Linked DNA regions of Medicago truncatula. The main gene of each other region encodes a partner of the protein of the gene in region 4 in a complex. Links are inferred from orthologs where the notes say so. Each region holds a gene or a part of one and is shown on either strand. Other genes may lie near its edges. The genes, in order: mediator of RNA polymerase II transcription subunit 19a, mediator of RNA polymerase II transcription subunit 17, mediator of RNA polymerase II transcription subunit 18 and mediator of RNA polymerase II transcription subunit 14.

Region 1 (7,511 bases), on a different chromosome or scaffold from region 4:
CTTAATCTGAAGAATATAGATGCAGCGAACTAAATTTCTTCAACCTTTTCATGATGTTTCTTTGAGTGATCAGCACTGGAATCACGATGCCCGCTTTTGTCTTTCTTTTTGTCCTTGTCTTTGTCTTTGCTTCTGTCCTTGTGACGATGTTTGTGCTTCTTATGCTCCCTGTCCTTGTCCTTATCCCTGTCTTTGTGCTTCTTATGCTTCTTCTCTTTGTCTTTCTCACTTTTTGATTTTCCTGCAATTGTTGGTATTCCTTTCTCCGCCTATTAGGGAAAATACAAGGAACAATCAAGATACAAGTCCACAAAGAACACATCATCAAACTTTGTTAACAAAAACTAAGATAGCATGCTGAATGATTTCAGCAAGAATTAAAAACTAAGTATGATCAAAATCACTAAAAATTTCTTACAGCAGGCAAATCGATGGGAGCTGTTTCCCTTAGTTGGAAAGACTCCTTGAGTATATCCAAGTCGAAAGGCTGTATCCGAGCACTTGTCTCTCTTGAGAAAGATGTATTCTGAATGAGTTCATCCAATTGCATGCCATCTCCTTTTCTTACTTCTGTGTCTCCTACTACACTGTGCAGGTAGTGTGTGTCCGCGATTGACACAGGAAGCGGCCTCTTGCAGAAAAATTCATAGTGCGGTATTAATTTGAAATGACTTATGAGATCCACAGCACCTGTCAACTCCCTCGGTCCTGAGGATTCAAAAACACAGAATGTCAAAAAACACAGTTTTTCTTTGATGAGTAAGTGACTTACTGTAAGTATTAGCTAAATATAAAATATACACAAGAAAACTTTAAAAAGGGATAATTGCACGGAAATCTTCAAAAGATGCTAATAGAATTTAATGTTTTCCATTCAATTCCCAAAAAATGAACGGGTGATAATTGACAAAGTTTCAAATCTGCCAAAAGGGCAAATAAACAACTAAAATCACGAATAAATAATTAAAAATTTAACCCAGTATTGTCAATTAGATAACAAGCACAGTCAGTGCCATAAACATATGAAATCCGGACTTGTATATACAATAATACAAAACAGAGACATCAAATAAAGATTTTATAGAATTAGGTATACAACATAAAGCACTATCATAAAGCACTATCATAAAAAACTTTTACCTCCTCCAAACTTTTTTCCTTCAGGATCCATGATTCAATCTTTCATGGTTCAATCTTCCACAGAACCTGATTAAAGCTGTCGGTTATTGGAACGAAAAGAATGTTTACAAAATTATTAGGGAATACATAATGAAACAGATGATACCATATAAAAATCATCATTTGTCACATGAAAACCAACAAAATTATATAAATCATTCTTTCTCAAGCTACCCTCTTAAATTACGGTAAAGAAGGCTTCTAAGCCATTTCAAAAAGACATTTAACATGTGCCACAAACCCCAAAACTTAAACAAACTAACTGGAAAAAAGTATTTCTATACCCGCAACCATTGTTGTACAGCTAAAAGCTTTGAAGGAGACTATCAATATTTTAAGAAGCCCTAGCATTCAAGCAAAACGCCATCTAAGACCAACTAGGAAAAACAAGTGTTCCCAGTAAGGCCAACAGAAAATATTAATCCATGCCTAAAGCTAATAATCTGCAAACAGAAAATGAACCATAGAATTCATTCACATCGTTTTCTTTTTCCATATTTCAAGAAATTGAAATATCCAAAAAACCATAGACCATAAAAATCATTCTAGACCAATGAAGCACTGAAACAAACGTGCACACCAGACACAACAGTGACACATCAGCACCGGTAATAATTTGAAAATTAAATTAATTGAATGTAATCACATGTGTCGGTGTTGCATGTCCCATGTCGGACACGCCTTTGATCAAAAGTGTTGGTGCTTCAGAATTCTAGACAATCCCAAATAGCACATGGAATCATCACCCAAATAATACAGTTGATAACTTAAATTCATACAGTTACAAGCCTACACACTAGCATAACAAAAACACGTTCAGCTTGTGTAAGCATAGATAGACTAAAAACATCAAACTACACATGACCAGCACCAATTTATATCAAGAGAAGCATTCAGTTTCACATGGATACAACGGCTCCTTTAGATGATCTAAATTGTAATTACTTTTCATTCAGTTTCATATAGTCAATAGGGAAGACATGAACTTGATTGGTTCAGTTTTGAAAAGAAAAGGGGTGGAACCAAGGGGGAAAAAACAGCACAATCATGTGTTATAGTTATAAAGTGCTTATTTCAGAAATTTTCATGGTTTCAACCATCAATTGTTTCTCATCCTGTTTCAATTTCCACCTTTGAAGATTGTTAAATATTCAAATCCAACGTTCAAAAAAATTTAACAGCTTTTCAAAAAGTGGTTTTCAACAAAAAAAATCTAAGTCTCAAAACATAGACCACAAAAAACCACAAAATCTTCATCACATTAATAACGCAATTAACAAAACATGCTTACGCCCTAAAAAAAATCAACTTCAAAAACAATCAAAACAGTGAAGAAAACCCCACCTGTAGAGTGAATAATTCTCAATTCCCACAAAAACCACCAAATCTTCTTCAAATTGGCACAAACACAAACCTCCAGCAATTGCAAAACTTCAACCACCCCAACAAAAATTTCTTCGAAAGCTGCACAAAATTGAAACCTTTCATCAAAATAAGCCAAAATCATCAACAGGGTAGTCAAGAATAACAATAAAAAAGTAACTTTTTTATGTATTCATTGAAAATTCGGTAATTGACCCATGAAAGAGATAGTGTGTAAAAGAATGAAACCTGCAAAATTGCAGATCCAAACAGTGAAAGAAGAAGAAAGGGATTAAAGGGTTCTCACAAAAACAAATAAAGGAAAGATCTTTGTTGAGGTTTCAGTGTTGGAACAATCTTTGTGTTTGTTCCTTCGGTAGTACTCGTGATTGTGTTGTGTTCTTTCTCTCTGTTTTTTTTCTCTCTCAGTCTTATGAATGAAAAAGAGCAAAAACCCAAAATTCTTTTATGTTCCTAGTTGCCACCTCTTATATATATTTAGCTTCCATTTTCTACAATTTTTCAATTTTACCCTTTTGATATTGCTATGCTATTGGATCAAGTGTCAACTTACCCCTAATGGGTAACGGTGGACTATTTTTTCATGTAAGATTTTTACTTCTAGAGAAAGAAAGACATTGGAAATTGGAGTATAAAGGTGCATTTGATTGGTTAAAAAATAGTAAAAAAATGGGATAGAATAATTTCAGTTGTATTACGTTTGATTGTTTTAGCGATTAGACAAATTGGTAGGCAAGCGAAAATTTTGTCATCACTAAACCATAATAGAATTTCTTTTTGTCTCAAGCACAAGTTGTTTAGCCTCCATTTTTTGTCATATCAATTGCCCGTGGTTTATGAATGAGGTAAAATACTTCAAATATATCGTGTAAATTGCTATGGACAATTTATTTCTATTTTTGAAGATAAAATTAAACTGGTTTAGTATAAGCTATAAGTTATTCTTACAAGCTATTTTGGAGAACTTGTGAAAATAAATCGAAAACGACTTATGAACATGTCATAAGTTATTTTCATAAGTTTTCACAAACAGCGTCACAAGTGTATAGACCGGTGCATAACTCAAATAAACTAATTCAAGCATGTTCAGTCTTTTTAACTCCTCTAAAGTGTAGAAAAAAAAATAGCATCTAAAGTGAGCAACTTCATTTAACATTTAACATGTATTACTAAATCAAATGTAGATATTATACACATCTCATATTTATTGAAATAACAACACCTAATTTTATCACATTGTACTCTACTTATTCTACTAGAGGAGTCAAATCTATTATCAAAGTAATAGTAGCAGTGACCATGTTGAAGTGGTACATAACCAAGTAAGATAGAATTGTGTCACTAATTCAAGCTTCAAAACACATTGAGAAAAATGTTATGGATAACTTAAATCCGTAGTATAATAAAATATTATAACGTGATCATTTGCACACAGTAAGGTGTTAAAAAAATTGTTAACTCGTATATAATAGTACAAGAATGATGTCCAAGGTTCAAATCTTAAAAACTAACATAACTACTAACTTATTAACATTTGTATATCTTAAATAAGGAGCGTTGGTAATCCAAAATAAAAAAATAAGGTAGGTTATGTAATTTTTATCTTGTATTAAATTTTCACAAACTTTTTTCTACAAGATTATGTTCAAAATCAAATTGATGAAAAAATACAAGAGTCGCAAAGCAATACTAAAGAGAGTAGCACAATTAAATCAACATTAATTGATACCATTTTGCATTCATCTAATCAAATCTAAATTAAATCAATATGATCAATAATGAATCAATTTTGATATTAATCATTAGATTCATTATTTTTCATATCTTGCTCACAAAATCAACATTCCTTGAAACTAGATATCATGGTCATCACCTATTGTTATCATAAATCAAGAGTCGATTTTCGAGAAATGGAGCTCACCATAATTTGTCAACGTTGATGAGATTTTATTCTGGTTTTCTTCATATCTATCAACATCAAGAATCTTGTTGCCATTGAACTATGAGATAAACCAATAGCGTGGATGACGTATGAGGCGGTAACACAGTGTGTAACGACTATCACATTTGATTTAGCATTTATTCATCTCAAACCCTAAAAATGCTTGTCGTTAAGACAGACAGTACAATGGATAAATGTTTTTTCTTGAGTACATTTTCATTGAAAACTTCTTCAAAACAAAGATATGGTCTCTTTGGTGTTCGCCGCCGTGAGGCAAACGAAGAATAAAACGCCGAATTGAAATCTTCGGTTTTGGTGTCTTAGATCGAATTAGGGCAAGAAAGTCAAAATGTGTTTGATTACTAGTTGCATCATGACATATCCGCATTGTATAGTCATTTGGGCAAAACACTTGTTCTAAACAAATATGAATATTATATTAACTATATAATAGTCGCATTTTAGTATATCTAAAATGAAATTGGATTGGGCCAATGCTATATCTTTTTGGGCCTTTTTTAGATGATGTGTTGTTGGTATGTTAGAAGAAATAATGCTCATTTAAGTGTGTACTGAATCTCAAACTAATTTCATTGCAATCAACAATGATTAGAGGAGTGAAGTTTTTTTTTTTTTAGATAAACAGATATAAAAATGTGTTGCGCTAAATTAAAGGTTATTAATATGTCTTGAGATATATCAATATTAGCATCATACACACTTTAAATTCAAAACATGAACCAATTCATTATATGTATTGTGTACTCCACAATCAATTCTTCCTCCGGGATAAAAGATACATAAAAAAAGTATATCTTATCACTTTGCTTATATTTCATTTCAAAAATAGTATATCTTATCTTAATTTTAATGTATATATTATATATATAATGTTATTATAAATAAAGTTAGTTAAGGTTTCAAGTTTATTTTCCCATCAAAATACACATGTGATTGAAAATTCTATTGTTTAAAATTTCATATATTATTTGATTTGACATTATTTGAAATTGTGATGAAAAATAAATAGTCTATCCATCGCTTAAGTTATGCTAAAGCTTTCCTACGATTGAATGTGCTTTTGTAAATTCATATGTTAGAATAGCAAATAAATATTTACTATTAATTATGGACTGTGAGGTGGTAGAAAATAAATGTGTAAAATGGGAAAAAGAAATTTTTATTAAAAACTTAAGCCCAAACTTGGATCTATGTGATTTACTTCTTATTAGTTGACTAAGTCAACCCCCTTTCCTTCCTTTTAGCAGAACCACTCATACACATTTCTTTAATTCCGTCTTTCGCTGAGCTCCTTAAAGAAAATAGAAGAACTAAAAGAAGAAAATAAGGAGAAAAAGGATGCATAGAAGAAGTCCATGAGATGGAGGAGGAGAGTAGGAAGTAGTGCATGCAAATTTAAGAGGAAATAAAGGAGAAGAATGGAAGATAGAGATGAAACCTAAATCATTTCCTCACCACAACATGGTTCAAGAGCACTAAAAATATTTATTTTTAGGGTAGTGTTAACTTGTGCCTTTAAGGCACATGTTAAGAAATCCAAAAGAAGAAACTTTCTCTATGATTTTGTGCATTTAAATGATTAAAAAGTTAAATATTAAATGCAATACACACAATCCAATATGTTTTTTTATATATTTGAATCATTAACTTGTGCCTTGAGGGCACAAGTTAACATTTCCCTTATTTTTATCATGGTTATGGGTTCATAAAGATAGAGAAGAAAGTGAAATCAAGTTGGAGTTCGAAGAAGGAGATGAAGTTATAACTTATAAGAAATATTTATCCCTTTTCTAAGAATAAAATGTAATATAGGAATTCCCCACAAAACCTCTATCAGGAATTATCTAGGATCTTTGATTTATACATGTCATTAAAAGTTTGTGTTTTAGGTTGGGTGTTTTCTCAACCTTAGGCATTTGTGTATTTTGTATGCATCTAGGAAAAGTTATGTGTACTTTATATATCCCCTCTTCAAATATGTAGATGAGTTCTAGAAATGAAACTCCCTTTAATTAAAATTACATGTTGAGTTTTATAATGGATGATGTATTAATATAAGGTTTGGGTAGGTAACCTAGACTTTTAGCTTGTAATCTCAACGTGTAGAGTTTAAATTCCTTAAGAAATGGTTGTATATTGACTATCAATGATACTTTATTAATAAAAAAAAAAATCCTTTTACCTAATTTATGAAGGAAAAAAAGGTATTGTAAAAAGATGGAATTCTTGATATTTGTTAATCAATTGAGTATTATATAAGAAATATAGATGTTAAATTTGATTAAATGTATTTTCATATTAAGATCAGGGTTTTAAGTGTTTGAGTATTGTTATAGGCCTACTAGAGGACCAAAGTACTCAATGTAATGCAGAAAAATCGTGTTTTTAGCAGGTCTGATTGAGGGAGCTAGGTGTTGCATTGTGGGAGATAGGCACCTTAAAATTGAGAGCATACACTTACATGGACACCAAGCTTCTTAGAACACCTTTTTCATATTTTTTTCACCTCATTTTTAGTGGTTTTTCTAACAGTACTTGTTAGTTATATGATTATATTAGTATGTTTTAACTTAAAGTATGTTGATTTATGTCAATTCATGAACTTTTAAGGATATGTAATCATTAATACCAATAATATCATCATATACTTGTTAGACAAACTTATGACTTAAGTGTATCACATGAATGGATAACATAATACAAGACATAATGAGGTATAAATGATTTCTCCTAAAAATGAAGGGAACTCTCCTTTTAAAGAATGGACATGTGTAAGGGCAGAATATTGGGATGGTGCTTGTGGTGTAAGGACATACATAGGACATGAGTTACAATTTCATGGATTACTTGCATATGAGGGATTGACAATAAACATTGCAATGTTAGAGTAAGATAATCGTGGTTTATCCGGTAATAGAAGGAACTCTTCTTCTAAAAAGGGAACATATGTAAAGGCGGAGATAATGAAATACCTCTTATGGTCAAA
Region 2 (7,556 bases), on a different chromosome or scaffold from region 4:
TGGCCTTGTCATGCTAGCCACAGTTACTGCATCGTTGGTTTCCACCTAAGCAGAATAATTTCAACAAAACAACATACCTTTATTGTCGGTCTGCACATATCATGCAATATAATGAACTGGGCCATAGGAAAAAAAATCTTGAAAAATATCTAAAGCATGGTTTCTACTCATAATGCCAAAAACTTGGTCATTTGCAAATAGATTCATCAAGACTATATGAAGTGATACATTTCTTGATGAACCCGGAACTGCTACTTCTCAAAGCATTGTAAGTTGACATTCATAGACATTTTCTCAACACTTAATTTCATCCCTGGATGAATGACACAAACATAATTTTCTTAAGCCACACACTGTTTCTTTTCTTTTAGAGCAAGTTCCAAATGGAGCTTTTATAAAAGATAAAATAAAAATGGAGCTTTTTTACAGACCTTTTTCAGAAACCAAATAACTTCAAGCAATTATCTTCATTGTTGCAAACAGATATGCAGAGAGAAATTTGAACTTGACATGAAGATTTCTGAATGTAGATGAAATCATAAAAAGCGGTGATTCATTGTAGAAAGAAACATGTGCGACTCACAGTGTTGATGAAATCTATGATAACAGAGAGCTCCTGATGAGCCAACTGCAAATTCTCCACCATGCCCTGCCATTGCCATGGTGTTGTCTCCTTTGAGCTCTTCTTCTGCTTCTTCTTTTCCTCGTCCTTCTCAATGGCCCAAGCGAAGTCAATTCTCCTGATTAGAGAAACTCGCTTTTCATCGTAATCCACATCTCTGCAACAATACGGAGGGAGTTACAAAAAGCCAAGCACAAATAGAAATTAGGGTTCAACATTCTTATGAGAGATAGCATAACTCTAGGATTTTTCCCCGAGCGTTGCACAGGTTCTCAATACTAGTTGAGAAATAAAAAGGAGGAGAGGAAGAAGCTTACAAAGGGAATCGTTCATTTCCATTTTCTTCAATGGAATCCAAGCGCTTGATCGGCAGCTTGTCAAGGGATAGTTGCAACTCCATGCCCTCTTCCATCTTTTGGAAAAGTTTGTTTGCCCGAAAAAATTCCACAAAACCTTCCGTGCCCGCAAGAAAATGTGGGTGAGACCAGACAGTAGCTTTAAGTCCAAGCCTAAGTGAATAATAAAATAGTTCAAAAACTTATAATCAAACAATAGAAATAATTAGAAAAGTAAATCTTTACAGAGTTTGAAAACAAGAATTTTATTTACTTTTTAACATGTTTATGCAATCAATAGATAATTACACTTACAAGCATTTAAAATAAAATAAAAATTTAGGGTAAATTAGCCACCAAATTATCCGTTGAATATATAATTTGAATATTTTCTTACAGGTAATAAAATATTTGACAACCTGTTAGCAATTAACCAGTGAATATGTTATAATCAATCAGCATGCAAATGCACGTACAAGTTTAAATCCAGTGAATCAATTTTTAATGCCTATTAACACTTGACAATGGCGACCAGTCATGCAAGAAGAGAACAACGCTAGCAATTGATTAAAATAAAATCCAAAGAAAGACAATGGTTTCCGCAAACAGCATTTTCACATCACAGAAAACTGGAATCAGAGTAAACACACCAGTCCAACCATCCACAAAGGATTGCCACACCAAGCACCAAGTACCACTGACATCAAAGTATTTATAAATTTCCAAAACATAGATCAGTCTCCATACCAAGCATTAACAAAAATTAGCCTCGGGTGCAAATAAAATGGTTAAGCAATTCAAAATGAAATTCAGCACTTTTGTCAAATACTTAAGGAGTAACCAAAACAGCAGGTACTCCTAAAATTAGAATAAGATAAGTATTCACATATTTCAAGCAGTTTATACAAATGGAAAATATCACAAAGGAGTGAAATTGGAAGATATAAAGTTGGTTTGGTGGTTGAGGTGGGGGAATTAAGCAGTGAAGAATCATTAAGTTGGGTTTATAAGGTTGACTTGGTGGTAGGGGTGTGTATGTTAAGGAGTGGAATGAAAAGGAGGTCGAGACTTCGATCCCTACCCCAAACAGGGGTGGAGGGTAGTGTCTCTTTGAAGATAAGGTGATAGTTCAGGGACAAAATTGATGGTTTATTATTTGTTTGTTCTAATACGTTCTATTTTTTCTTTTACCCCCCCTTTTAAAATTGTAGTTTTTCCACAGTTGCTTACTGACACTACTATAATAAAATCGTTTGATTACAACAAAAGGATTGCAGCGGTTCTTGCACAACTGCCGCTGCTTATTGTTTGCAGCGGTTAACACGACTGTTTTACTTAACCACCGCAAAGTTACAACGATGGACTGTGCCGCAAAATACTGCAAAATGTCCCGCCGCAATATAAAAGCAGATTTGGCTCCCCCAAATAAGTCAATTTGTGAAAAATTAGAACAAACAAGAAGGGCAAAAAATGACAAGTTTAATGGAAGTGCATCAACTGTGTAAAATAGTTTACACCGTCATCCAATAAATGCCCATCATCTTGCCATGTAAACATAGATTATAACTCTAGTTGAATAAATTAGATGCAATGTGATGGAATCATGAACACAAACTGATAATTCAAGCACTTCAGAAGACTATAGGTTGTGTGAGTATTTGTGTCAAACATTTGGTGGGCAAACAAATAAAGAATAAAAGTACTTGAATTGATGAGCAATGATAAGAATTTGTGGTAACAAACTAGAAACCCAGAAAACAAAAACCAATAAAACACACATAATGGTGAACAAGAAAACGAATCAACTGTGGGAATCATAGAAGAAATCGAAGCAGAGAGAAAGGCACACATACCTTGGAGAGCTGTGAGTGAGACGAGATGTGTGCGTTTCGTAACAATGGAAGTTAAGGATTTAGTGTAATTGTTTAGTATGCAACGAGATAATTGAAATCAAACATGTCACTGAAACCCGCTGCTTTTCAATTTCAGGGTCTTCGCTATTGCAACGAGGGAAGAAAGAAGAAACCCAGAACTTGAGAATTTAGACGACAAATTATTATTTTTTTAGGTAAAATATGTTTCTTTTTTTTTCAACTATCAATATATTAGTTTTTCGTTTTAATTTATTTAAAAATTCCCTTTCACTTTTAGCACCTTGAAAATTTTTCATCACTTGTTTTGATCCATACTTTTAAATCAACTAATATGTAGTTTTTATATTTTTGAATGAAATTATGCAAAAATGTCTACTATAATATTATAATAACAATCACCTCAAAAAAATTAGAATTTTTTAATAAAATATTAATTAAATATGAATTTTTAAGTGTTCAAAATATTAAAATTTATATTTCATTCATGTTTTATTAAAAATCTATTTAGTTTGGAGAGATTATTATAATATTATACTTCAGTAACGTAAAATTTCATTAAAAATATGAAGTCTACATATGAGTTAACTTAAAAAGAGAGATTAAAAGTGGTGAACTAGTGATGAAAAACTTTTGGTGTACTAAAAGTTGAAGAAATTTTTTAGAGGAGCCAAAAAGAAAATTTGATATATTTATAGTTGAAAAAACATATTTAACCCTTATTTTATTTTTTTGATATAAAAGAAGGCCAAAGATGCCCTAATGGTTAATCCTAGTAAAAATGTATCACCAACTAAGAAGATCTTCAAGACTTCAACTCATCTCAAGATGAGTAAATTCATACTCTCTCCGTCCCCTTTTAACTGAGTATTTTGTTCATTTCACACATATTAAGAAAAAGTGTATAAGTGAAAGATAGAGAAATAGTTTTGAGTGTCTTGTTAAGTATCGGTGCATTCCTTCTTATCATAAACGCAAAGTAGAATATATTGAATTGAGAGTGATTAAAGTAGTATTAATTTGAATTATAATTGGAAAAAAGTAATTATTGTTGTACCGAAAAGTGAAATGGGTCAATTTTTTTTGGGGCAATATTTTTATGCAAATGGCTTAGTTATTATGGGACGGAGGGAGTATTCTTTAAATTGAGATCAAAGTTTGCAGGTCGACGATGTACATAATACTTTCTCTTGCAAATATGGTTGAATTTGACGTGTCAATCCATTTTCACTAACACTCGAAGACTAAGGTTGGCAATGTGTGATCGTCAGTAATCTCATGTGTAATAGTAATCTCATGTGTAATTCAATTAATTATGACTTTGTGATCATCCGTAATCTAATGTATAATTATGTCAATTATAACTTTAAAGTCCCTCTACACCACAAGGTTTATGACTCTATCACCCCAAATTATCTCAATTTCATGCCACAATGCTCGCCAAATGGGAGAAGGATCTTCTCCATTTATTTTAACAAATGGAGAGAGATGCACACAAAAGGTTGATAGTGGATCCTACAACCATAATATTAAGAAAAACCATAATATTAATTTTTTTGAATTGTAGCGTAAAATTAAATTATTTTTTTCTTCCCTTTGATCGTACTCCATTCAGCGTGTGTTTGGTTGTGCGGTGGAAAAAATTGATTTTGATAGAATTGATTTTGGTTAAAAGTGAGTTGAACGTAAAGTAATTTATGTTTGGTTACCTTCAAAACAGAAGTGCTTTGTATGAAAAATGTTGTTTGGATGTTTTGTGTCAGAATTGCTTTTAGATGTGTAAAAGATCAAAATGGGCTTTAACATGTGTCTGTGTATATAGTTATAAAATTTGACATTTGTTTAGTTTTTTCATCTATTTTTTTTTTTATTAAATTGACAATAAAATTATAAGCTTAACATAAATTTATTTTTTTAGGGAAAGATTAACATAACTTGTTAATCAGACAGTATCCAAATAAAAATACATGCAGGGAATATACGTTAAACATGAAGTACTCAATTAAAATTACAAATAGAAAATATAATATAAAGTGTGGTACAAGTTTGAAACATTAATACAATACTAATTATTTTTCCTGAACTCTATAATTTGATCTCGAACATGATTCATCTCAGATGAAGAAGCTATATTTAAATTTTGAGATAAATCCAAATTAACTGATCTACGATAATCATCGTGATCAAGGGTTATGTCTTCATCCTCATATCGATTGAAATCAACATCCATATCAGCATTCCTTCTAATAAAGTTGTGTATGACAATCAGAAATCATGGAATTGCATCTCAATAGATATTGTTTTTAAGTGTAGAAACACAATGAGTGTCTTAGTAGGCCACCTATCCGGTCGTGATTGTGTCCTTGATTTCTGGGTTTGGAGCTGCTGTAGCAACTGCGCTTTTGGTGTTGTATCAGAGGGATGACAGCATAATTTTTTGCTATGGTTCTGTTTCTGTTTGGGGCGCTGATGCATCAGCTTTCAGCCTGGGTGCTTGCTTGTTTGCTTTGGGTGGTTGTGATATTTTTTTGGGGTATGCATGCGGTCCCTTTGCAATGTAAATAAGTGCAACCCACATGTTAGAACAATAAGAAATCATAATGTCACACAATCTACTGTCACAAGAAACATGCTTTGAATGTCACACAATCTACAGTCATAAGAAACATGCTTTGAAACATAAACACTCAGTCTAATGCATTCAATGAGTCCTAAGTAAGAGGTGGTAAAAACTGCTTTGAAAAAACCAGTAAAACTGAACCAAAAGGGTGGTAAGAACTGAACAAGAAAACCAGCAAATCAGAGCCAAAATACCAGTTAAAATTGAACCAAAAAATAGAGCTTATACATAACCAGTTAAAACTGAAATAGAGCTTATGGAGGATGGGTGAACAACATAAGTGAACAAAAAATACAAGCATAATTATCACACAACATAAGCCTTCATTAAGGTATAGAAACATTACATAAGTTACTAGTACTTCATAATAGTACTTCATAGTTACTAGCACTTCTTAGATTACTTCCTAATTAAAAGGCAAAACATAACAGTACTTGATAGTTACTAGTACTTCCTAGATTACTTCTTAATTTAAAGATAATGGAACATTACAACATTAAAGACTAAATAATATAACAGTGCTTCATAGTTACTAGTACTTCCTAGATTACTTCTTAATTCATAGTACTTTCTAGCTTACTTCCTAGTCACACAGGTTCCAAGTTACATATTCATGAATGGCAATGGGTTATCAACTGCATGCTTAAGTCAATTCAACCTTTTCTCCTCTGAACCTCGTAGGGAAATAAAAATCTCCCTTGCAGGCTTAAACATCATCAATTGACAACACTGAGTGATGACATGCTGTCATTACGTAATTTTTAGGATTTATTTTGACAATTTTGTTAGAGTTCTGTGCAATATGGAGTATTCAAGGGTGTTAAAAGCAAAGATTTTAGAAGAACTGAAAGCAACAAATCGTGTCACGATTTTCACTACCGTGATGCGATTTTTGACCAGAGAGGCATGTTTTCGAACTGCTGAAATCGTGGTACGATTTTGAGCAGCGCGCTACGATTTTAAGGAAGGATCTGGAAGGAATTTAGGGTTTTGAAGAAATCGTGGTGCGATTTTGCCAACCGTAACGCGATTTTGCGCGCATCCAGATTTGCCTATTTAAGCTGAAGTCAGTTCCAAACATAAGGGTGACGATTTTGGAGAGCTAAAGTACGATTTTAACACCCAGAAGACTGCATAAGGGGCGATTTCATCATCTCTAATCCAGTTTATGTATGTTTTAATTCTTCCATTGATTATGCTATTTGTAAACTCAATTATGAGTAGCTAAATCTCTTAAAGATTAGGTCTGAGATGAATCCTTGTAACCCTAATTGATCCATGTTGCTGTGAAACTCTATTTATTATTAATGACAATCTAGTTTTTATTCAATTTAATTGTTCTTAATGCTTTTTATATTATGATCAAATATAAACATGATTTAGTGAGAACGAATGACTACTGACCATAACTTTCGATTTAGACCTAATTGAATTGTTCTAATAAACATGGTTAATCTAGGAATGGATAATCGTTTGTTAGTGATATTAGGTTAACGTTTTTAAAACATTCAAAGATTATTAGTCCACCTAAGGAATTAGGGGCTGTAGTTTGAGAAGAGGGTCCTAACTCAAGGGATTGATTAGAGCTATTTTGTTAACTATCGTTGAATTAGAGAATCATTAATACAAATAGGTGCAGTATACCAATTAGGGGAACATCGATGATTCAAAAGACCTAATCTCATCTCTCTTTTATTCTTAAAACCAATCTTTATTTTCTGTTATTACTTATGCAAACAACCCAATCAACTGCCTAGTGGCAAACTAAAAGAACATTTATACATCCTAATTTACAACGTAATTGAATTATTGAGATTAAAATCAGTCCTTGTGGGAACGATATTTTTACTACTTCGATACTTTTGGTACACTTGCCAAAAATCTATCACTGAGCATGCATATAAAGATCATTTGAGACTTCAACAATGGTGTCAACACTTTAAAATATATGTGCAGCGAAATATTTTGCTTCTTGTACATACGCTCTTATCACTGTTGTATATATGTGTAGTTTATTACCTTTGGATTGGAAGTGCTTGTTACTTTTATCAACACAAACATCATTTAAGGAAAAATTTACCAAAAACTAAACAATATTTCTTCATTCA
Region 3 (8,000 bases), on a different chromosome or scaffold from region 4:
AGTTCCGTCACATATCACCCCCAAAGCATACCAGCATCTTGTCCTCCCTACTTGGATAATATAGTTGACATCTCTCTATCTCTGCAATATTTTTTTGATGGACACAAGGTATTTAAAATGTGAGACTTGTGATGAATCTTTAATTATTGATAGAAATCATAGTGTAAGGTTAAGGATAAAAGAAGTTTGCTTCTATCCATTTTCCTCATGTTTTAAAACACCCGAAAGCGAGTTAGTGCTACAACTAACCTTTTGCAAGGATCAAGGATATCACTTGCAGAGATACACACATCATTCCTGAATACATCCATCAATCAAAACTTGGCCACACACTGGCCTTCCATGTTTCATAACATAATGTAATGTCAATACAATGTTTGTGGGATTTTTAACATATATTTTACTGTTTCATCGTGACACCCCATTTTTTTAAATGAGAAACAAAATCCACTTCGTAGGCAAGCAAAGAAAATCAAACTTTGAAGATGCATATTACAAGTTGGGACATCAGCCAAGCAACATGATTTTACAGGATCCTTTGGTATGACACTTTAAATAATTAATTATAAAAGAAAATTTCGAAAAACGGTTCTGCTTTTTATTTCAGAAGTGAATTTCAATATTAGAGCAACCAACACCCCCAGTGTTGGGAGAACACAAATAACAAACCATAAAGAAAAGTGACTTAAATTATGAGAAACTAGTCAGGTAGCCACTCAATATTTGGCCATAGTTCCGAAAGCATTTGAATTACTAGAACCTTAAAACTACATTTCATGGGTAGAATTCAAATAAACATTATCAGCATTGCAAAAAAAGTGACTAGACTGAGATATTATAGCTGTAATATGAAGCATGATGTAAGATAGTACAATAATTAAAAGATATTTAGAAGTAAACAATCTATCTTTGAACTTAGCATATGATAGAGAATTACGGAATCTTCTGATCAGTGTAACCAACACAAGCAGAATCCAAAAATTCTAACAGCAGAAGGCAAACATAAAGGTCAAGCCAAATCAAATTTTCCATAACAACCTCTATTCTTAAATAACAGTATTAATAATAATTGAAACTTCAATGAAGATACAAACTCACTCACCTGTGTCTCTATAATTCCCTGAACCACGCATTCCATATCTGCTTCTTCAACTGCATTAGACAATAGATATTTTGGAATTAATTACATTGTATAATTTAAAATTTGCAATTGCAACAGAACAAACCAATATATATATAACCGAAATAGAAATTAAGCTACTTAATTCTTACTCCAATTTAGACCATCACTAATATTATAACATTTTCACGAGTATTAATATTAATCCTTTTTCTTGATCTGATCCGAAAATACAGTTCAGCCATACCAAATTGGTTGCTTCTGACATCAACCAGTGTTGACAAATAGCAGTGTTTAGTGTTATAGCATAACAGAATTTGGACAAATTGCAGTTGTTCCACAATACACTATTAAATAAAAAATGTAATCAAATAGCGTCTATTGCACTGGAGCTTAGCGGAACTGAACAAACTGCTATTTTTCGCAATCCGCAATTGATAACACTGAAATCAACTGAAAAAATGGTTCTTATCTTGCGGACAATTCCTGAAGCAGTTGCTTGGACTGATATTGAACTGTTTTGAAAAAGAATTGAAAAAATGTTTAACCGACTATCAGATCCAGGCAATAAATGGCCTTTAATAACTTAAGAATTAGTTCTGCTACAGTAAAAACTAACTTGGGAAGCTGTTTTGTTTTCAATAATCAGAACTAGTTTACAACAGCATGACTGCGTAAATTATTTGATGAACTAGAGTCTAAAAAAGATAACTGAACAGAATGATTCGTAAATCAAGTAAATGAACAAAAGGGCACTTGACAGCATTTAAGTGTACAATTGTCATCCAACTCTCAACAAAGATAAAAACAGCAAAAGGTCAGCATTTTAGTTGAGGTTCATGACTGCAGCTATGTAACCTTCAAATTTATATGTAACAGCAGCAACTCAAAAGACACACTGCCACTGTTTCTTCTTCTTCTACGAGTCTATTTCTTCAATTCTTCAGTCCCATCTTTCCCCTTCTTATTCTTCTTCTTCAAAAACATCATCTTACAAGAGCAAAAATATGGTGCAAGATGACCAGCAGACTACGACGGTGAAAAAGGGAGGTAAGGTTTTTTATTGTCTCGAGCAAAAGCCCATATAAGCTAATAGCAGCTCTATTTTAGGGTTTTAGTAGTAAAAAGTGGATTGCACGCGGCAAAAGGCGCAAACGAGAGATGATGAATGCAGCCTCAACAACCGCTACTCTGTGCTGAGACGCTAAGTCGTGTGTGTTATCCTCTTAAAATGAATATAACATAATTAAACAAGCAATTATTCATTTTAACATTTTTTTTTCTATATCTATAGGATCACGGGTTCCTCCAAAGTCGAGTTTAATTCACAAATCACCGTCTCGTTGTCACTTTGTGTTAGGTCACGAGGGTAGCAGGACCACACTAGTGATAGAGACACCACATTTTTACCCAAAACCTTAAGACAATGAGTTTACGGGATCTGTCACTTGTAAAATAATAAATTATCAATGTCACTAATAAAACAAAGATTACATTGATTAAAAGAGACCGTGAAAAAAATCAGTGTAAAAGTTCAAATTAATTCTCTGTGTTAATTCAAATTCAGCCATATAAGATACACCCCACAAAAATAATACAGCTTCATTCATAAAAAATATTCCACTAAGAAAGAGAAAGGGAAATTCGGTTTTGAATTCTAGCTATGAATTTGACTGAAATAAAACATTGAAATACGAAAATGGGGTAATAATTTGAAACAATGAACAAATTTAAGGAATACGAACCTGAATGTAGTCAAGCTCAAAAGACGAACAGAAGTTCCGGAGAGGATGAGGGTGCGGCGGATAGCGAGCGAGGTGTCAAAAGAAATTCTTTTACAATCTATACAACCATGGGAATTTTCTTATTTAATAATATAAATATAAGAAATGTTTTTTTTGACAAGATAAATATAAGAAAGGTTACCGAGTGTCATTGCATTCTTTAAGCAAATTTTTTTTTTAGGTAGTGTAGTGGCTAGAATTTACCTTATAAAGTGAATAAGTGGGGGGTGTCTAGGTTCGAACCCCCGTCCCCTGCATATAACAATGCATTGTCCTACCAACTGAGCTATGCTCACGGGACTTCTTTAAGCAACTTTAATAATAAGTTTTTATAAAAATATTCTTTCAGAAAAAAGTTTTTATAAAAATATGTGTAATCAATGCATTAAAATTTGTAATATTTGATTTTTTTGAGAAATATTTTCTTAATTTGAGTTCCTTAAAGAGTGTCTTGAGAGATTTGTTAACAAGACTCGGATATATATTACATTTACTTGAAATGATTAATAAAATTTTCTTCATCTTTTTCTTAATCTAAATAAGGGATTTTTTATTTAAATTTAGTTTTTTTTTTCAAATGGTTAATAACGTCGTTTTGTGTGGCGTTGTTTGATTTTTGATTTTGTTGCCGTACTCATTTGATTCCTATTGAAACATCACATATTTAATTAATGATTTGGACGTGTGTTGCAGATGTGGAGATATGAATATTTAAGTCACTTTAATCTTATCATATTATTTGTAAATATTTTGGTGTTGTATGTTGTTAATTTGAATGTTGTGAGTTTGTTGGTAGATTTATCAATTTATGTTTTTAGCGATGTTGAATGATGTAACATATCAATTTAAATGAATGAATATCGTTTGATTTTTGTCAGAAAAAGAAAAAAAACTCCACCAAAGATGAATTGTTCAACAAACGAAAACCTGAATTTGATTAATTATTGAGTTCAATTTATGGATGGAACAATTATTGGACATGCCTAAGTTCGATTTTAGATGGAACAATTATTGGACATGCTTCGGTGGAACTTTGAATTACCAAGGTCCCTTTTTGAGTTAACAAAAAAAAAAATCACCGTTTGGGTCATCTCTATAACCAATGTTTTAAAACTTGAACTTGGAATCAGGTGTGAGGGTCGATTAGCTCAAATGATCGAATATGCACGGAACTCTGTGAAATCCAGTTCGACTTGGTTGAGTCTATGATTGAACAGTTGTAACTCGCAGTGAATCAGACTAGTTATAGCATACATAATCATTCATTAAGTAAAAAAATATGTTGGTAAACGGATGTTTGGTATCTCAATGTGTGAGATCTAGTTATTAAAGCTTCATAGTCTCCTAATATATCGAAATTGCAAACATATCATCATCTATGTTTATATTTAGCCATTTTTATCCTCAATTTTTATTGATAATTTAGTTCATAAAATTACAAACAACCAAAATATTTGTAGATGTATTTAAAATTTTCGAGGTATTTAAAGGACTATAACACAACGACTAAACAAAATAATTGTTTTTTTTTTATATCTTTTAGTTGAATATTTAAAAATGAAAATTGAATAAAAAGGGCTTACAACCCAAATAAGAGCCCAGAAGCCTATGCAAAAAGCAATATCAAATACATTTTTTGATAAGAGAATAGAAATAAAAGACAGAAAATTCAAAAATCTTGACACCATTGTCAAAAGTCAAACCTTCTTTTAGGTTTTTTTATTCCAGTCTTTTGTATTTGGTACCATGCCTAAATTACCTCAATTGATTCTTTAATATTACGAAGTTTTAACTAAATAGCTATGACCAATTTCGTTTATAACCCTCTTCTATGATCACAACCCCATAATGTCCTAGGCAAATTCGTGATCATTAAAGGCTTGATTGTACGTCAAAACAAATATCACAAATGCAATACTAGAATACATCTAATGATATTACATATTGAACAATTATCCTATACCATGTATCAAAAGTTAGGATTAATAGTCATCCAACACATGCATTAAGAATAAGTAATAACTGAAAAATACTATGAATTCAATTGCATAAAAAAGTGATAAACTGGATTACATGGTTTATATAGCTAGGAAGAAGTGCATCTATATGACAAAATCAAAGAATTCTAGCTACTCATAATTAAAAGAGACATGACAACTAGATTAAGAAATTACAATAGATGATGAAGTGGTTGATGAAATCTTGTTTCCAAGTTGTTTCCATAACCTCCCCCGCATAGAAAATGAGATTTTGGCTCTGTTACGGGCGTGGCCCTTTCATAGAATTCGCAAATTCCACTTTTTCAAAAAAATGTATGTAAATGCGCACAATATTGCATTCTGTGCATCACGCACGAGGTAGTATCTGCACATTTTGGGCCTGCAATACTGATCCTATCCATATGAAAATTGCATTTTTTTTACCAATTTGTAAGCTGAATTGAACTTTGGCGACTTCATGAAAGATGTAGATATGAATGTTAGCTTTTATATGCCATTGGTATCGCTCCATTCTTAGAATTACAAGTCTAGATATGATTAAACTACCGCTCCGAGGTCATGTGGAGATTAGCACGCCTTACTCATATTCTTTTACTCTTTTCCCCGTTTCTCTTCATTTTAACGTCTGTGATGGCTATACTCCAAATAGACAACTTGATTGCTCTTGTAAAAATCATAGCATGACCGAGGAGTTGTCTGGTTGGGGTGAATTTGAGCAGATTTCAAGATCTTTTTTACATATATTTAGTACAATGCTACTTTATTTACTTCTTGCTAATCGTACTAAAACAAACTTACAAATGACCGTAAAATGACTTCTAAAGGACCCTAAGAGCATGGTATGAGAGTCTGGCTTCACAACCCCACACTAGAAGTATTGCTTATCCTCAAGTAACATACCCGTGCATCAAAAATCTACAATAAAATAACAAATCTCCTTGAATCTTTACCCATCCGGTTCTCCATAATTCAATTTAGTAGGTCCAAAGAAATCACCCTAAGACAGGTTTTTTCTAAACCTCACTGATCCACTCAATCATTGAAAAAAGTTAATCACCCCGTCAACATTCACATGCCACTTGGATATACAACTTGAAGACAATTTGGGAAAGTAGGTTAAAGTTGGAGTTACATATCCACTACTTATCCTTCTATGCAAAAATACTAAAAGTAACCAAGCAAGCATGCCTTTCAAATTTGGTACAAATATAAGTTTTTAATAATTTATGAATACAGCATTTTTTTTTTTTAGAGATAATGGCTATTTCCCTTCATTTTTCAATCACTTTTGTTTTTGAAGAGACTTATTTAGATGAGCGTCTCTTAGATTTTTGTTACCGCACCCCAACTTAGAATGTTTCTATCTTGAGAAGCAACCCCAAACTTAAAACCAACCATGATAAGTAATTTAACGCTTCTACATAAGTCCATAAAAGGTAAATATAATAAAAAGCATTAGGTATATTCGTCTTGTAATGCAGTTTGTCACAAAAAGAAAGGATACATGTGAATGTAGAAGGTGGTTTATCAAAAAATAATTAAGATTATACATGGTGGCTTGAAAAGGCTCTAGGTACAAATAAAATTGTCTCAATGTGTATGTATAACCAATAAGCTAGTAGAGAATGAAGCCGAGCTCAAGAAATGAACACATGGATGAATACACTTCACCAGAAAGAAAATAACAGGCAATGGATGATGTTTAGGCTCAAAAGATCCCATCGATCATGATTTAGTACATGTTGAAATTGACTTAAAATTTGATGGATGAATAATATTGTTGCTAAAAATATAAAGATTTGTTTCAAATATATTTTGTGCTTCCAAAAACTTGTTGCTGAAAATATATTTATGGGCAATAAATATATTTTTGTACCGTATGAAGGAAGATTTGATGCAAATATATTTTTAAAGGGGATATTTGATGCAAATATATTTTGTGCTGAAGGAGAAAAAAAGAAACGTATCTTCAGCGTGATATCCGTTCTAAATTTATGAGTTATATTTCTCTATAAATATAAACCTACCTTGTATTAGATGAGAGAGAGAGAGAGAGAGAGATATTAGATCAACAAAACTAGAGTTTGTCTTGGCAACAAACACTTGGGCTGGGATTAAATCACCGTTGATTCACCGTGGAGAAACACTATTAGGATAAAGTCTCTTGGTCACAGGAAGAGATTTGGGACTTTGGGTAGAATTAGGTTTGAAGACTAATTCTTGTAACCTTTTGATATCTCTTTTGTAAAGTTACTCATCATTTTAGTGGAACGGAGAGTGTAACGCCCACTTTCATTTAATTAATTATTTAATCGAGTTTATGCCATTATATTATATTTTTATAATATATATGTGAGTTTTGTTGAATTTAGAAGAGTTAAGTTGATTTGAAAGATTTGACGTGTTTTGATGATTTGATAAGATTATGAGACTAATTTTATTGTTAAATAAAATAAGATTTGATAAGAAAATAAAAATATTTAGTTGAGGGCTGTTTTGATATTTTAGATAGTTTTGGGGGAGAAAGTGAAATAAAATAAGTTATTAGGAAGAGATATAAATAGGGGAAGACCTAATTGTTAGAAAAACTATTGTACGTGAAAACTTTTGGAAAAGGGAGAAAAAGCTTAGAAGGGAGAAGATCAAAGAGAGAGCTGCGATTTCTTCATAACCAGGTAAGGGTGAGACTAATAACTCAGTAATGTTAATTGATTGTAATTCTGATGATTAGTTAGCAAGTTTTAGGATTGAATTGGAGAAAACGAAAACTAGGTCAAATCCCTAGAATTGATGATCAAACGGTAGGAATTGGTTAAATTGATGTGGAAAGTGCTTCTAGACCTTAGATAATGTTTAGGACGAACTTTGGAATCAATATTAGGCTTAAAACCTTGTGAATCGTTGAATTTTTGTGAAAATAGGAAGTCTGGCCGTAGCGACATTCATCGCTCGCCACGGTGAGCTATGAATCTCGCTTCGCGAGTGATGAACATTCATCGCTCGCCTCGCGAACCCTTTTCCCTTGCCTCGCGAGTTGCACAACGCAGCTCGCCACCGCGAGCAACCTTACTCGCCATAGCGAGCTAAGGCAGAGAG
Region 4 (6,884 bases):
GTTCAGTCTCTAACAACTTAAACAAGGGTTTAAAATTTTTATCAAGTTGCATAAGCAGGAAGTAAGAGCTTCCACAGTCTGGAAATCCCATCATCAGCACAGTTGAACCATTCGACAAGGTTTTGGGTGTTTTGACTGTGTTCAATCCATGCTCATAAACCTGCAAGGGTGGCCCATAATCCATAAATCTTAGGGAAGCTGGTGATCTGAATAAAAGTAAGCTAAAAGACAGTCCAAACTGATTTAGAGATTTTTCTTTGAAACACAAATGGAGAGAGTAACAAGAAAATGTACCTCAAGGCCCAAAACCCTTCCAATAGATGCAAATAAGTGCAACATACTTTTGCTTCTCAAGCTTAGGAAGACTTCAGCTGCAGTAATAGATCCCTGATTTAAAGCTTCTTCACATTCTAACAAGGCAGAAGAAACAACTATATTTTGTGATGATTGAAGAAGGAATCGGCCATTCCTGAATAAAAAACAGGGAAATTGGTTTGAAAATGCCTAGATTAAAATGCAAGAGATTAGGGAAAAAAAAACAAGTGAGTGAAATAAGGTACCTGATACTAATTCCAAGAGTAAAAAAAGAAGAGCCATAAGCACGCACGTGCAGTACCTCGTTCCCCTCAGAATCCTTATCGCATCTCTTATTATCCTTCTACAGACAGAACATATCTTAATTTTAAAACCCATCAAGATTAAATAAAGGTATGCATAAGATTACCCACAGAAAATCCATAAGGTGCCATAAATGAAAACATAAAATTGCAACAGCAGTTAGCATGGCATAGATTATTGGTCAAGTGGTTAACAGTATTGCACTGAAAAACACGTGCATATCAACAAAGTAAACCCCAAACCATTGGCTGGTAATGCAGATACAAGATACCAGATTCACAGTTTACAAAACTACAAACATTTCCTGCATGAGCAATTATGAAGCAAAGTAATTGCAACGCTAGTATGCTATAATGCTAAACAAGAAAGAAAATAACAATGATCAGAACTTTCAGAATTAGAACTCTAGTAGAGTTCTATGAAACGAAAAGAATGTGAAGTAAAACCTCTAAAACTGTGACAACAAACAAGGACATTAAAAACCCCTCAAAAGAGTCGTTTAACAGAAAGCCCAATGCAAATTACCACTTTAAAATTTCTTCAATAAATCTAACCTGCTTATATTCAATATCAGGTTCACCCATATGAGACTGGAGCACAACGTCATCTGCTGTTCTAAAGACCTGAACATTTTTTATCAGTTCTGTTTTAATTTCTAATAGCCGAGTATATCTATTGCAACAAATAGCTCTTAATAGCAGCCTCTCTACATCAATACAATTCTGGTCTAAGAAAAACTCTGCCTCCTTGCCAGCTAACGGATCTATGACAAAGATACTGTGGGTGCACTTTATCTGAAGGTCTGGTCCAGGTTCAATTTTTATAAATGGACAAGCACCTGAATCAGACACACCAGCATTTTTGTCAAAATCTAACCAGTAAATAATTTTTAACCCCGGAGTTCGTAGACCAGACGAATCAGATTCCCCGTCAGGATTCTGCACAGAACTTGAACTTGCCCCATGACCAGAGCCACCATCAGATATGAGCTCAAACCGAATTGCATCTTTCCATCTTCCCTGTCGAAGGAATTGCACTTGCCTTATTACTGTGTCCATGACAAGTGCAACACACAGCTCGTGAAGAACTGTGTACAATATTGAAAATGGGTTTTCGGCCGCTGCCATTCGTCTCTCTAGATCATCTCCAAGCACATGTCGCCGTAGTTCTTCCAGTTTCACAGTTTTATTTTTTTCACCGACAAGCAGCTCCAAATGCAATATTCTCCACAAGGACATGTGTCCTCGGTACCCAAGTGTCAATAAAACCTGAAACTCTCCATTCACCCTAACCATTGCAGTGCCATCGGAAACTTTTATATCAGAAATTTCTTTGGGAAGAGAAACTTCAAGCAATTTGGACCGAACAAGCATGTCCAGCTTCTTCAAAGCAGGCTTTTGCTTATCTTCGGTCAAAGCATACTGAGAACCAACATCTTCAATACACTTTGGCAAACGCTCGTAACTCCCCGTGAGAAGAATTTCAATGGCGGATGGAACATCATAAACCGGAGCCCGAGCTTGCTGAAGCCCCTCGTGCATGAAAAACAACGAATCCGCAGCCTGAGTAAAACACATGTCGTGATTCGAAACAGTTGAAGACAGTTGCTGACAGTGCTGTATCAAAGGAACCTGAAAAGCCACAAATTATTAGCAAATCATCGCATATACAAACTCTCTTTCTCTTACTCTAACACTAAATGTTATCATTATCATAATCATATCATACATGACCAACACAATTTTATTTTTAATTTTTAATAACAAATATTATTAAAAGAAGATCAGGACTCGTAAGAGCCCACCAACACAATCATCATATCATACATAAATTCATAACATAACACACACACATTACATAACAATTAGTAACACAATAAACAATAACAAAGATGAAATTCAATAACATTGGGATTAAAAATAGAAATGAGATGAAAAAATTGACCTGTTGGCACCATTTGGAGAGGACATTGAGACGGATCATACGTTGCTGAGTCTTGGTAAGAAATTTGAGCATGCTAATCTTCTTATCGGAATCGGATAATTCGGTGGACCTGCATTTATCAACAAGCTCTTTAAGCGAATTGTATGAATCTTGAGCGGCACGAGTAACGAGGGTGGATAACTCCACCGTCTGTTGCCCTAACTCCGCCGTAGCCATTGATTTCGATTGTTCAATTCTAGGGTTCTTCTTGATCTGTTAATGCATCGAAATCAAATTAGGGTTTTAGGTCAAAAAGACAACGGTTAATTTTTGAACCGTTGTCAATTAGGAGCAAAGGAAAGACGAAGAAGAAGAAGAAGAACGCGCTCTTTCGTGATTCCGCACTCTCTCTCTTCTCTCTCTCTCTCTCTCGCTTTCTCACTCTATCTCTGGGCTTGTGTCTCACGGTGCTCTCTCATGTTTCTCTCTCCTTTTATATATTACTTTATTTGAACAAATACTTGGATTTTCTTACACCTTTTTTTTTTTCTTCTCAATGTGTTTTAGATTTTAGATTTTGATGTTGATAGCTAATGTTATTTGGTGCAACTTTTTTATGGAACATGTGTTAAAGAATTTTATTTTATTTTTTTAAAATGCGTTAAAGAATAATTTTATTTTTTTTTTGGTCTTAGATGAAGTGGTAATCCACTGAAAATAAACTCACACACAACTGTGAGATCCCGGGTTCGAACCCGGGTCATGACGTCCGGCCTTGCAATTTCGGCCTTGCAATGGCGTTAAAGAATAATTAATTATTGGTTATATGGTGATCACATTTTATACAAATGTTGTAAGTAAGATAAATAAGGTAAATATTAACGTTTTTATAAGTTTTTAATTTCATTTTTCTATACGAGTTTACTTATCTTTTTAGTTCTTTGATTACAACGGTGGCTTCCACGTGATCACGTGTTAGAGGGATATTACTAGAAGAGATAAGGTTAATTTTATAGTTTATTGCAGTTTTTGTATTATTTTTTTATTGGTGAAGATTTTTACTATATGAGTTTAATAATATTTGTTTCTCTAAGATTTGTCATTTTTAATTTGTTAAGTTTGGCTTTAAGGTTGTCATCAAACCCTTGACAGCCTTTGTCAAACATTGTTGTTGTCCAACTCATCGATTCGATAATAAGGTTTCCTTTTCGATGGTAAGTATGTGATAATTAGCATCCAGAACAATGAATTTAATTACCTGAGTCAGTGTTTTTTCAATGCTAAACGTGAATCGTGGAATCTAAGTAATATTGTTTCTTTCAATTCAACATATTAACTCCTTATGATCTTCGTCTTTATTAAGAACCAAATCCAACTTTTTGACTTGTTTTTCTAATGACATTATCAAGCAAACAACCAACTAGAAGAAGAAGTCACCTAGTTTTGCAAGTATTTTGACTATTATAATCAAAATTAATGATTTTCATGAGTTATTATTAAAAGCAATATTATAATTTTTTTAGACTATTCAAAATATTTTTTGAAAAGAAAAATCAAACTACATCAAGAGGAATAAAACATTCGGGGGATTCATAGTTCAAGATAGTGGGGACAAATTGGTACTAACGCGACATTTGTATGATTGAAAGAAGTCATCTAATTTTGCAAGAAGTCATCTAATTTTGCAAGAAAGTCTTCATTTGCATGTATTTTGACCGTTATAGTCAAAAATTAATGATTTTCATGAGTTATTAAAAGCAATATTTTAATTTTCTTAGATTATTCAAAATATTTTTTGAAAAGAAAGATCAAACTACAAAGGTTGGTCGAGAGGAATAAAACATTTGGGGGATTCATAGTTCAATATAGTGGGGACAAATTGGTACTGACGCGACATTTGTATGATTGAAAGAAGACAACAATGCGTTATATATATATTGCTCGATTATGTCTTTTTGTCCTTTCGTTTGAGTTAAGATCTCTCTATTTTGGATCTCATCCATTTATTCCATTTGAAGATATAAAGACACAATAAAATTTGTAAATAATTAATGATAATGGAACCCACTTGTTGGTAGAACCTACAATTTATGTTTTGTTTATATCTCTTACCAAATTGCAATCTTCATTTATAAGATAGGATCCAAACTCCTCTTATTTATATGTTTATTTTCAAATTTAGACATTCCTTTTTAATATCATTCCTTAAATAAGGTTACTTTTACGATTTTGGAAACCTTCTTTTTATATATATTTTTCTAAAATTACTATGAAACTTTTTCCTTGAGTTTACTCCTCTTCAATGTATTAGATTCACCACTTTTTACTTGTTACACAACAAATTTGAGGTCAACACCAAGCGTGCTAGACAATTATTAAACAATGTCAAATCTTTCCTTATTGTCGTTAAACTCGTCAATTCAAATCTTATGGTTTCCTTCTCGATGATGAGAATATTTGAATCGGCATCTTGAACAATACATTTAAATTTGTTGACTTGGATGATCCCCAAAATGACGTTTATTCCTTGTTGAACAATAATCTTGTAATCCAGACATCATTATTTGTTTCAATTAAACATATTTGTGATTTTCAACTTTATTTAGAACCTATCTCGATTATGTGATAACTTGTTTTCTCAATAATTGTGTCAAGATGACCGATCAATGAGTTTTTGTAGTTGGCAAACATGTGGATTAACACCGACTATTTGATGTTGGTTAATGCTTTCAACTCCAATTTTGTTGTACTTTGGCCTTTGAGGATCCGTTGGAGTAATTGCATGGTTATGACTAGAATGATTAATTCATCTTGTACTCATATTCAAGGGAGAGAAACTTGACAGCGGATGCGTTGACCAAAAATGGTCAAAGCTTGCCCTTGTTTTTTTCTTCTCAATATTGGAGTAATTATTCTCCTTTTCTTGCTGCTTTTCTCCGGAGAGATAGCATTCATTTGCCTTTCCCGAGAAAAACATTTATGTAATCTTGTTTTATAAAGGGTACAAGCTCCCTCTCGGTGTATTGATCTTTTGTGCTTTGATAAAAATAAAAAAATAAAAAGATTAATAGGCTTTTACCCCCCTGTTATATGGGGGTCTTTTGGTATACTCCCCTATAAAAAAAAACTTGGAGATTCTTCCTTGTAAAATGAAGATTTTTTGGTTTGCACCCCTGAACCAATCTGACTGTGCACATAAGCTGACATGGGACGCTGACTGTATAAAATTGAATATTTGGCATGTTGACTTGGCTTTTTTATTTTTTTTCCAATTTTTTAATTCCATTAGAATTTTTTTATTAAACTAGTTACAAACCCGTGCTTCGCACGGGTTCAATAACGTTTTTGATAAAAAAAAAAAAAAAAATCGAAAGAAGATATGTTAAAACGACGGAACATTATAATTCATCATAAAATATGTATGGGTTGGTTCCAAAGCATTATAAAGATCTGCTGTAGAAAAAGGGCATGTTCTATTTTGTTCAAAAGATTAGGAAAACAACATTATAATTAACATGATACTAATTTGAACCAATGAAGGAACCAATAATGTGCAGATTAACGTTACATAATAGTTAGGTTTATAAAAGAGACTCCAAGTGTCAAAGACTAACTAAAAAGAGATTTTTGCCAATATTTACATCAGACAAAATGAAAAGAACAAATGACATCCCAAAGTCAAAATAGTTTACGATTACAGTCCAAAGCGATACGTCAAAATAGTAGAAGTTCAAATAGTTCAGCAGCAAATATCTACTTTAGAACAACTCGAACGTGCAAGTTCTTCGGTGACTTTTCGAGACCAAATATGAGCTTACCACCTTCTATCATCACACGTTCTCTGCAGAAATTGATCCATAGCCCACCCAAGTATTTTTCATAGCTTGCTCTTTCGGCGGTAATGAGACGACACTTATACTTTCTCTGCATGCGAATATAGTTACATATAATTTATAAAATAAAGGTAGCTTAACTGATTTAAGCTAAAGAAAATGTATCATGACTTCTAATTTATCTTCCTATTATCTTCCTATAAAGTCTAGATAAATACATGTATGTGCATTATATGAACCCCGTTGACCAATTAACATTGTTGAAACAAATGGAAATTAAGCATCACTCCCGCATGTGCATCTATAGCTAGCACCATTTGACATTGATGTCTTCGAACATTTGGTGCAACTCTTATAATACCATCCAAACTGGTTAGGATTGAATTTAGTTGTTTTCCAAATAGTGATGAAGTATGTATCCTAATCCAAATTATGCACATGAAATAAAGAATAATGCAATATATATTTTTAACTTGTGCATCAAAAAACTCAAAGCATGTTCGTGCATAA

What was found.
Region 1: mediator of RNA polymerase II transcription subunit 14 (region 4) and mediator of RNA polymerase II transcription subunit 19a share a complex: the UniProt entries of both Arabidopsis thaliana proteins name them as parts of the mediator complex. The link is inferred for Medicago truncatula from reciprocal best matches to the Arabidopsis thaliana genes SWP and MED19A.
Region 2: mediator of RNA polymerase II transcription subunit 14 (region 4) and mediator of RNA polymerase II transcription subunit 17 share a complex: the UniProt entries of both Arabidopsis thaliana proteins name them as parts of the mediator complex. The link is inferred for Medicago truncatula from reciprocal best matches to the Arabidopsis thaliana genes SWP and AT5G20170.
Region 3: mediator of RNA polymerase II transcription subunit 14 (region 4) and mediator of RNA polymerase II transcription subunit 18 share a complex: the UniProt entries of both Arabidopsis thaliana proteins name them as parts of the mediator complex. The link is inferred for Medicago truncatula from reciprocal best matches to the Arabidopsis thaliana genes SWP and AT2G22370.

Annotation. Positions count from the first base shown.
Region 1 is NC_053049.1:10,410,923-10,418,433, forward strand, and holds the start of mediator of RNA polymerase II transcription subunit 19a, read right to left. Parts: upstream 3,009-7,511; 5' UTR 2,849-3,008; exon of another isoform or gene 2,791-2,848; intron 2,644-2,790; 5' UTR 2,524-2,643; intron 1,217-2,523; 5' UTR 1,172-1,216; coding exon 1,141-1,171; intron 709-1,140; coding exon 419-708; intron 270-418; coding exon 45-269; intron 1-44. UniProt on the Arabidopsis thaliana protein: Component of the Mediator complex, a coactivator involved in the regulated transcription of nearly all RNA polymerase II-dependent genes.
Region 2 is NC_053045.1:55,066,169-55,073,724, reverse strand, and holds the start of mediator of RNA polymerase II transcription subunit 17, read right to left. Parts: upstream 3,021-7,556; 5' UTR 2,811-3,020; intron 1,136-2,810; 5' UTR 1,035-1,135; coding exon 940-1,034; intron 780-939; coding exon 584-779; intron 46-583; coding exon 1-45. UniProt on the Arabidopsis thaliana protein: Component of the Mediator complex, a coactivator involved in the regulated transcription of nearly all RNA polymerase II-dependent genes.
Region 3 is NC_053043.1:15,752,726-15,760,725, forward strand, and holds the start of mediator of RNA polymerase II transcription subunit 18, read right to left. Parts: upstream 3,012-8,000; 5' UTR 2,866-3,011; intron 1,153-2,865; 5' UTR 1,139-1,152; coding exon 1,103-1,138; intron 1-1,102. UniProt on the Arabidopsis thaliana protein: Component of the Mediator complex, a coactivator involved in the regulated transcription of nearly all RNA polymerase II-dependent genes.
Region 4 is NC_053048.1:54,600,898-54,607,781, forward strand, and holds the start of mediator of RNA polymerase II transcription subunit 14, read right to left. Parts: upstream 3,017-6,884; 5' UTR 2,779-3,016; coding exon 2,563-2,778; intron 2,250-2,562; coding exon 1,173-2,249; intron 659-1,172; coding exon 561-658; intron 470-560; coding exon 295-469; intron 161-294; coding exon 1-160. UniProt on the Arabidopsis thaliana protein: Component of the Mediator complex, a coactivator involved in the regulated transcription of nearly all RNA polymerase II-dependent genes.